3 linked regions of the Sus scrofa genome follow. The protein of the gene in region 3 interacts with the protein of the main gene of each other region in a pairwise test. Links are inferred from orthologs where the notes say so. Each region holds a gene or a part of one and is shown on either strand. Other genes may lie near its edges. The genes, in order: PLOD3, TSSK3 and EFHC2.

Region 1 (2,449 bases), on a different chromosome or scaffold from region 3:
AAGGGGCCTGGTCTACTGTCAAGGCACTTCCAGGGGTCTCGGCAGGGGCTGATGGTCCCCTTGGGGTTGGAAGCAAGGCCAGCTCCAGGAGGTCTCCTCTTTTTCAAGGCTGCTTCCCATCCCTCTCTTCCAGGAAGCTTTCTTGGGTTAATCTTCCCGATTCCCTTCTGATCCAAAGCAGCTACCGTCAGGTTCCAGCCTGTCTTCCCTTATAGAACACCTGCCCCCAGGAGGGCCTTCCTTCCCTAGCACTGTCCCTGCAGCCCAGCTCAGGTCTGTGCCACCCCCAGCCTTCACACGAGGGAGAAGATGCCATCAGGAGAGGAGAGAATAGAAGAAGAGAGCTGAGGAGGTGGGTTTTCACCTGAGCCAGACAAGGGAGGCCCTTTTGGTCTGGCCCTCATGCTCAGGCGATGACAGGGAGTTAGATATGGGGTCGCAGGAAGCTTCCAGGCTCCCACTCTGCTTTGGCATCATGCTTCTGCCTTTTCGTCTTTTCTGTTCTTTTCCTTTGGAGTGACCCCGGTCTCCCCTTCACTCTGGGTGGCGGGAGGGACATGGGGTCCAGAGGTAGATCAAAGAATCAATGGACGCGAGAGTTACAAATCCTCCTTTATTGAGGGAGACTGAGAAACAATAACTTATTACATGGCGAACCCCTAGAAGCCCTCTCCCTGGGAATGCTTGGGGGCTGAGGAGCAGGGCAAGGGGGCTTCCTGAGCTTCCCGAGGGCCGAGGGCCGTGTGGTGGGGGCGGGGCAACACATTCAGTCCCAGACACACGGAACATGCGCCCGAGAGGCAGGGCACACCCCCTCCAAGGAGGGAGCGCGAGAAGGCACAATGGCAGGGAAGGTTGGGCAGAGTGGTTGAGTGTCAGGGGTCGACAAAGGACACCATGATATAGCGAGTGCCCCGTGTGGTGGGCAGCCCCTCATGGTAGTGGGTGAGACGGCCAGGGTGCAGGAGCCCCCAGCCCTTCCGTGGGGACGAGATCACACAGTCGTAGCGCAAGAAACGGCAGCCGCCTCCCTGGAGGATGAGAAGGGGACGGGGTGGAGTGTGAACAGGTGCGGGGACTGGGCGGCAGCCAGGCACCCTGGTGGCACCCTGAAGTGGAGCGTGGCAGGGACCCACCTCATAATCCAGGCCCTTGTGGTTGAGGGCAACGTTGAGGGTGAAGGTGGATGAGTCGTGATGGGGCCGCAGAGAGGGCTGCTCATCCGGCCGGTAGCGGACCACGAAGTTCATGACCGCCCGGGTCTGTGGGGACATGGGAGGAGAGGCTGGAGGTGGGGGTCCTGAGGTCTGGGGAGGGGGAGAGGTGGCAGGGGCTCTCATGCTACCCCCCCCCAGGGGGGCTGCCTTCCTGCAGGATTTCACTCCATGGGGTCCCAAATGCCTCAGGAACCCAAAAGGGTGCTGCATGGAGACGGCCAGCCGGGTTCTAGGAAGGTGGAGTCAGGGTAGCAGGTTCAGCGGTCACCTTGGTGTGGTAGCCTGGGAACAGGCTCTCGGTCATGGGCCCCACATATGTCCTCAGCAGCTGCAGCCACTGGTCCTCATAGCCCACCTGCTTCATGTGGATGTCTACGGTGGGCACATTCTCGTAGCCTCCAGCCAGCCTTGAATCCTGCGGGCAGTGGGCACTAAGCTGACAGGGCAGTGCCAGCTTCCTCATCTGCTCCCAGGCCTTAAAGCTTATGTTCCCTCCATCTGGAAGTCTTGACTCCTTAGCTTGACTCACTCCTGCTGGGCCTCTGAGTCTCAGGTAAGATGCCACCTCTTCTGTGAAGCCCCTTGGTCCCCCCATGTCTGGGGCATGGGCCCCTCCTGTGACTCCCACAGCACCTGGGCTGCCCAGCACAGCCTTTAGAAGCTGGGTCACTGCTGCTACTGACAGCAGGTGAGACCTAGGAGAGCAGGGCTCGACCCGTACAATTCATCAACGCACTGCACTGCCAAAGTCAGTGGCTGGCATCTAGGACCCACCTAGCATTTCTTGAATGAATGAATGAATACAGTTGTGCCCCTTCCACTTGGGGACCCCTTTCTGCTCCCACTCTCTAAATTTCATTTTCCTTTCACCAGCCCCAGCCTCTTCTTCCTCCCAGGGGCCCTCCTGCTCCCCTGCCCCAGCACCCCACCTCATGCCGGCCTCCTGACCACTGGCCGTAATGCTCCATTTCTTCCACCAGCTCATCACACATTTGCTCCGACAGCAGAGGGAACCAGTACACATCTGGGCAGGGCTGAGGACAGACGGGGCGGGGGAAGAACAGGGCAGGGTGACGCTCGGGGAGCGGATAGGCAGCCAGTGGAAGGGAGAAGAAGCAGGGAGCAGAAAGGGAAACCAGGCCATGAGAGAATGTGGAGGAATGGGGCTGGACCAGGAGAGGGTGGCCAGAGAAGGTGGGCCCAGTGCTGGAAACACTGCACAAATGGCACGG
Region 2 (3,050 bases), on a different chromosome or scaffold from region 3:
CCTGAACCTTTTCCAGATTTGCCGTTAACAGCATTAAAGAGATTCAACAGAAGCTGGAAAGTGTCTGGGGGTCTGTTCTTGTCCCCACAGCAACTGCCTAGAGCCAGAGCAGGGTGGCTTCCTACTTAGAGCCTGGGGGAGGGTTGTGGTGGGAGGTAGCCTGGGTCCTGAGGAAGTCCCTTGTCCTCATCCCAGACTCGGCTCGGCCTTTGGGATGAGGAAGGGCCAAGCCCCCAGCAGGCCTCTCACCAAGACAAGGAGTCAAGAGGCTGTTCTGCATTCCCAACGCTTCTGCTTTTATTTGGAAAGGAAGTTGCAACAACAGTTTTTTCAGTTGCTCTTGGTCATTTTTCTCCTGTCCTCCCCCTGTACGTGTATGATTCTGGGGACTGTTTTTAATTAACTTTAGTTAAACACCGGTATGAAAATCACTTGTCAGCCGTAATAAAAGGGAAGTCTGAATGAGGCCCTCTCGTTCCATGAAGATCTTTAAAGGGAAAGAGAAGTAAGGCTGGGGAGGGTATAGGTAAGATTTAGGATAAGTAAACTTAAAGTGTAAAATATATATCAACATTTTAGAAGCGGGTTTTTGGGTTTGCTTTCTCCCCCTGCTTTATTGGGGAGGACTTGCCATTGCTTTTATCAAGTGCTTGCTAGCCATGGATGCCAACTAACTTCTTCAATTGAAGGCCGGAGGGTCATGTCTGGTTCCAGGAGCCGCTTCAGCAAGTCCTGGCATTCGGCTGAGATGCCCAGATGAGTGGGGAAGGACACCCCTTTCTGCTGCTGCCACAGCATCTTGGGGATGTCTGTGTCATCAAAAGGTAGGCTGGCACAGAGCATGACGTACAGGACCACGCCCATGCTCCAGATGTCCCCTTTCTTGCTATCGTGGGGAATACCCTGCAGTACCTCGGGGGCGGCATAGGCTGTGCTGCCGCAGAAGGTCTGGCTCAGCTCCCGGCATGACTTGGGCAACACCTTGGCGAAGCCAAAGTCTGTCAGCTTCAGGTTGAAACCCTGCAACAAGGCGTTCTCGCATTTGAGGTCCCGGTGGGCCACACCACAGCCATGGCAGTAGCGGATGGCCTCGACCATCTGACGGAAGAGGGCCCTGGCCCGGCTTTCAGGCAGTGGCCCTCCATTCAGCACGCAGTCAAAGACATCCCCTCCTTCAGCCAGCTCCATTACCAGGTAGATTTTCCCGTCAGCAGACTCCAGCATCTCATACACTTGAATGATGTTCTTGTGGTCCAGGGTACGGACAATCTGGAGCTCCCGAGGCAGGAATCTCTGGATAAACTCTAAGGACACAAGGGAAAAGAGAAGGAGTGTCAAGTCCAGAAGGGCCTAGAACTCCTCTCCTGACTCCTGCCTTCCAGCTCTGGCCCACCATGTCTGGGTCTTGTGCCTTGGTTCCCTTGCACAGCCTTTAACATCCAGCTATTTGGACACTGCAAAGAATGTTCACCCCTGTTGTTTTTGTAGCTAATATATTATTCAGAGGAACTGTTCCCTGTCAGCCTCAGGGACCGTTGTGAGCAGCCTGTGAGACCGTGGATATCAAAATGCTTTGGAGACTTTTTAGACAAAGCTGTTGAATCTTTTGTGAGGCCTGATTGCCCACAGCGTGGTGAGCCAGCTCCTCTCACCTCTGACTCCTGAGTCACAGTTCTTTCCATAAGCCCTGTCTTTTCCCAGTCTCTACCTTCCTTGGCCCCACTCCTGCCCTCTGCTAGTCCTGGCCACAGCCTTCCAGTCTCTTCCCGTCCTGGAATAGGAAAGCCCTGGTGGGCTTGGATTCTGTTTCTGAGGATCCTTCTACCTCCTGCAGATTTAATCTTGGACTTTGGAGGGTGTGATTGTCCTTGACACCCAGCATTCCTCTGTTCCCCACTGACCTACCCCAGAGCCACACTCCCTTGCTTTCCTTGGTTTCAGATCAAAGAGAAGGAGGAAATGGTCCTTCTGACTGGAGGAAGCGCCCACCCACTTCAGCCAGCCCTCCCTTCCTCCAAAGGGCCCCCAGCTCACCTTCTGGCCCTCCCATCTTGTCTATAATTTTAATTGCCACTTTTCTTTGGTGTTTTTTGGAAACTGCTTCCTTGACTTTTGAGTAGGTCCCTTCCCCAATGGTCTTGCCCAGCTGGTACCCATTGGAGAGCAGAAAGTCCTCCATGCTGTCTAACACCTCCTTCCTTCCTATTACCCTCTCAGCTCATGCTGCCTCTGCGAGGCAGCTCTACTCCACCATCGCCCTTGGCCCGCTCCTTTTCCCCCCAAGGACTTCATCCGCAGCCGCCCCCAGGGCTAAAGCATTCTCCGTCTGGAGACAGCAGCCGCAGGTGGTGGGGAGGGAGAGGGCCAGACATTTTAAAACTCTGGCCTAATTGTGATGTAAATGATGTGTGACTCTTGGCCAAAATGAGCAATGCTCCTATCTGCCCTCACCACCACCACCACCAAACCCTGTCCGGGTTCAGTCACTGCTGCGCCCCGACCCCGCGCCAGGCAGTGAGTCGCTCGCGGCCCCGCCTGTGGGGGGCGCTCCAGGGGTCTGCGCGCAGCCCAGGATGCCAGGCTCCTTTCGGCGGACGCCGCCTCCTGTGCCCCCATAGGGCAGCTCGGGGTCTGTGCGACCCATGGCATGAGCCCTCCAGCTCTTGGCTCGCCACCCCGCTAAGTGCCCGGGCAGCGTGAGGTTCCCTGGCCGGAGGAACGGGTTCTATGAGGTCACCGCGCCTCGGCCCGGGTCACAATGCAGCCTTCCCCTTCGACGCCCGGGAACGGACGCGCAGCAGACACCTGCCCGGATCCGCCTGGACCGGAGCGTCCTCCCGTGGCCAGGGCTCGGGCAGCTGCTTCCGGCCTGGGACCGGTCTCGGCCTCCGGCAGGTGAGCAACAGCCCAAGGGGCGGGCGCCGGGTGGGGGAGCCCAGCTGCCCGGTAGCGGCCTGACCGCTACTCCCCGCGCAGAGCGCCCCGGGGCCTGGACATGAGTGCCCAGGAGCCCCCTCAGGGTCGAAGATTCCCCATTGAGGCTGGAGACT
Region 3 (3,655 bases):
ATGCTTTTGTTTGTTGTCTTTCCATTTTGTAATGTTTTTATTTATATACCTTGCTGATCTCAGGTGCTCATCAGCCTGTGCCAAAGACATGGCATCCTGCATGTTTCTTTGATATTCCGGGACAAACTGCTGCTGGTGGAGTTTCTGCCATTTATCATGGAAGACTATAACCATACAAATGCCAATAACTAGAAATTTCAATCCCCAAAGGACACAGTTGAGAGATCCCACAGATATATCTTTGAAGGCTCTCATGTGTAACTGTACACTTGAAACAGCCCACGTTAGTTTTCTGATTAACATGGCATTGTGACTTTGGATTTCTTGTTTTCTAAAATTTTCTCATTTAGTGTTAGACCTGCCTTCTTTTTTCAACCCATGAATGGTCGGGACTCTCTCTTGTTACCACAGAGAACTTCCCTGGCGTCTTCTGAGAACCATCTAGCGAGAGAAGGGGCCAAGGATAAGGAAGAGTGCGAAGGTCACAGATACATGGATGCCTCAGGGAAGCGGAGGGAGGGGCAGGGGACTCAGTGGTGTTGGCCCTGGGGTGGGGATTGCTGCCACTGGCAAGTGGGCCCTCTCCAGAAATTTACTTTTAGGGAAGTGAGAGGCACTTCTTTTGGAAGAAGAGCTCCAGCATCTCTCTTTCATGGCGGCTGGCAACTCTTCTCCCCATTTCTGTCCTGTTTCGCCTGAGACACTCCCTCCACTCCTCCGCTTAAGTAATCTGTGGCTGTAGCACAGTGACATACAGTCCAGTGCAAACTGTGGAAAGCAATGGTATTTACTTAGAGCTTAAAAACCCAGATTCAAGACCTCTTTCTGTCATTTATGAGGATGTGACCTTGGGCGCGTCCCTTAACTACTCTGAGCTTTGATTTTCTCATCCGTAAAGTGAATATTTGTATTTCATGCATTATCTGCCTCATGGGATTATTGGAGATTAAAGGAGAAACACGTATGAAAGCACATCCCAGGGCTATGATGATGACTGTGATGATTATTACTTAAAAGCTCAGTGGGTGGGCCAGTTCTTCCCACTTCGAAAAATATAGGATTCCTATTTGAAGTCATAGAACAGACTTCAAATCAGAAATCAGCACTCATTTACTTATTTGAATTTTTATAATGAAGTACAAATGCGAGATAGATGGAATTCCTAAAGAAGCTCTGGCTGGTGAATACATCTTATATATTTTAAAAACTGTCACAATATAAGTATTTTTAAAGAGCTGTATAATGGTTCCTGAAAATACCTGAAATGCCCATGCTTTTATGGGTGTTTAAGTATGCAATTTGTTCTAAATGTCTAATCTTGAATGATTAAATAATTTGCATACTGTTTTCGGTGGCATGAATTAAGGGCTAATTGAAGTATAATTTTTTGCAGTAAAATTGTATCATCTTTTATGTAGTACATTTAAAAATATTCTAGGCCCGTTCTAATTTTATAGTTTTATTATTTTAATTTAATGTACCAAGTAATTAAAAATTGCTGCAAAGAAAAGAAGATGAAAATGATTTTAGTTAATTTCCTCTCAACATAGTGAAAAGATGATTAGTAGAATAATGGAACAGAGCTCAGCACACTTCCTGGCACATAAAGATATTCATTAAATGTTCCTTAATGAATAAGGAATGAATAATTTCCAAGCATTTCTAGACTTTGGGAAAAGGCACCATTCTCAGTGCTATATAAAATATGAAGAAGATTGCTTGACATCTTTATACAGAGGTTACACAAGCCAATTTTTCTTGAACCATTAGAGCCTCAGTTTGCTCTGCTTGCCATTTCTCCTTGTGTCTTTGTTCCTGGAGTAGATTCTCAGGCTTAAGTCACTCTACAGATGTTGAGGTTCAGATCTCTACGGGTATCTTGCATTTCTGTGGATCTTGGAAGCAGAGGTACTGACTGCTCTTTGTTCCGGACTGTCTTTTCAAGGATGTTTATATATAGCACCTAGCTTTGGAAGACAAAAGAGAGTTTTTCCTTTCTGGAGCAACGTACAGGTTTGCTCACAGCCTTGAAAGATAGAGGTGGTATCTCTCTCCAGAACAAAGGGCAGATATGTTTACTGTCCAGTCTTATAAAGATCATCTTTCCCTCTGACAGAAAAGCCAGGCATGCTGTTGCCCATTTTAAAAGATTTGGGTTCCCTCAGCCCAGGGTTCCTGTCTTATAAGGTAACCCACCCCATGTACAGAAGTTACCTGGCCCTTGTTGGGTCATCCTGTGGGAATTGGTACAAAATGCTGATGTTCTGGTTGCTGTTATTACTGTGAGTAATAAACTGTTGCTTGTCTCTAAACAAAGCATCTCATGTCTTCTACCAGCATCCCTGAAACTATAGTGGGCAAACTGGCAGAATAAATTGCAAGTAGAATAAAATCTCAAACCCTTAACAATTCTTGACAACAGGTTTCAGCAGTGTTTGGCTGAGTTGGGTATGGTATGGTGTAGTTGGTACATTCATCCAGTTAGGGAACCTTTTTACCTCCAGTGGCTAATTACCACTTGGGGATACTTGGGGACCCGAGGTCCATATTCTCAAGAGAAGAAGTGAATGGGCATCATAGGGTTGGAAGTTGAAGATGGGACAGGATCCAGAACCTTTAGCTCAGAGCACCGTCTAAAACTGTGAAGCCTCTGATAACCCTCACTTTGTGGGGATTGTTGGCTCTACAGGAGGAAGAGGTTGGTAGAGGAAAGAAGATTCTAAGAAGCTTCAAAGAAGCATAAAGTCATTCATACTTGTAGAAGTTAGAAATGTCTTAGTTGCTTGTTTGGTCTGCTCTCATTGAGTGCTAGTAGGTGAAAGTGAGCATGCCTATTTTGGGAAAAGACATGATGACAGTGTCTGGCTCAGTAGGCCACTCTGTTTTACCCCTCCTCCTTCCCTCCTGCCCTAGTCTTTATGGTTTATTCAAGTCCTTCCTGGAATTCCTGCTGTGGCACAGTGGGTTAAGAATCCAGCATTGTAGCTGTGGCGTAGGTTGCAGCTGCAGCTCAAATTCAGTCTCTGGCCCAGGAACTCACATGTGCCACAGGTGTGGCCATAAAAACAAGTCCTTTCCTAGCACCACTGAGGCAGCTCGAACAACATGCAAGGCGAACAACATGCAAGCGGCTTCAGAAGTCTCAGCTTCCTCTGGCACCCTCGGAGTTTGAACGTACGGATGCTACTGCCTCCAAGAACCAGCCCTTTGCCCGCTTTACTGTGGTGCATTCAGGGTTGTTATAAAGATGTGCTGTGATCTCTTTCTGGTTTGCCACATGCTGAAACAGCTGTATTTCATGTCCCACCATAGGAATTTTTATCCGCCGTCATCGGATTTCTCTCCCACCTCCTGATGAGGATCAGTTTTATACCGTGTATCATTTCAATATCAACGTAGACATTGTCTTATATGGTCGAACCTTCAAGATTTATGACTGTGATACTTTCACAAAAAACTTTTTGAAGAAAATAGGAGTCAAATTAAACCCCCCAGGACAGTGTCCAGAAGATCCTTACATGAAGACCCGGAGAGAGGTGAGTTGATTTGTCCATGGCCTTTTGTCTTCAGGATGAGAATCCCTTTGGAGCCAGTAAAAGGTATTGGTACTTGTGAGGCAGATGTGAACGAGCTTTGGGGGCCATGGTCATTGGAG

What was found.
Region 1: the proteins of EFHC2 (region 3) and PLOD3 interact in binary tests that used the Homo sapiens proteins (3 or more experiments, as listed by UniProt). The link is inferred for Sus scrofa from reciprocal best matches to the Homo sapiens genes EFHC2 and PLOD3.
Region 2: the proteins of EFHC2 (region 3) and TSSK3 interact in binary tests that used the Homo sapiens proteins (3 or more experiments, as listed by UniProt). The two-hybrid records come from large-scale screens. The link is inferred for Sus scrofa from reciprocal best matches to the Homo sapiens genes EFHC2 and TSSK3.

The regions. Positions count from the first base shown.
Region 1 is NC_010445.4:8,911,188-8,913,636, forward strand, and holds the end of PLOD3 (procollagen-lysine,2-oxoglutarate 5-dioxygenase 3), read right to left. Parts: intron 2,252-2,449; coding exon 2,147-2,251; intron 1,633-2,146; coding exon 1,486-1,632; intron 1,263-1,485; coding exon 1,137-1,262; intron 1,032-1,136; coding exon 876-1,031; 3' UTR 600-875; downstream 1-599. UniProt on the Homo sapiens protein: Multifunctional enzyme that catalyzes a series of essential post-translational modifications on Lys residues in procollagen. Plays a redundant role in catalyzing the formation of hydroxylysine residues in -Xaa-Lys-Gly- sequences in collagens.
Region 2 is NC_010448.4:88,809,152-88,812,201, reverse strand, and holds TSSK3 (testis-specific serine/threonine-protein kinase 3), read right to left. Parts: upstream 2,180-3,050; coding exon 2,035-2,179; exon of another isoform or gene 1,305-2,034; coding exon 643-1,304; downstream 1-642. Other genes in the region: protein FAM229A, read left to right, coding at 2,759-2,895, 2,977-3,050. UniProt on the Homo sapiens protein: Serine/threonine protein kinase required for spermatid development and male fertility.
Region 3 is NC_010461.5:39,520,981-39,524,635, reverse strand, and holds part of EFHC2 (EF-hand domain-containing family member C2), read left to right. Parts: intron 1-3,312; coding exon 3,313-3,536; intron 3,537-3,655. UniProt on the Homo sapiens protein: Microtubule inner protein (MIP) part of the dynein-decorated doublet microtubules (DMTs) in cilia axoneme, which is required for motile cilia beating.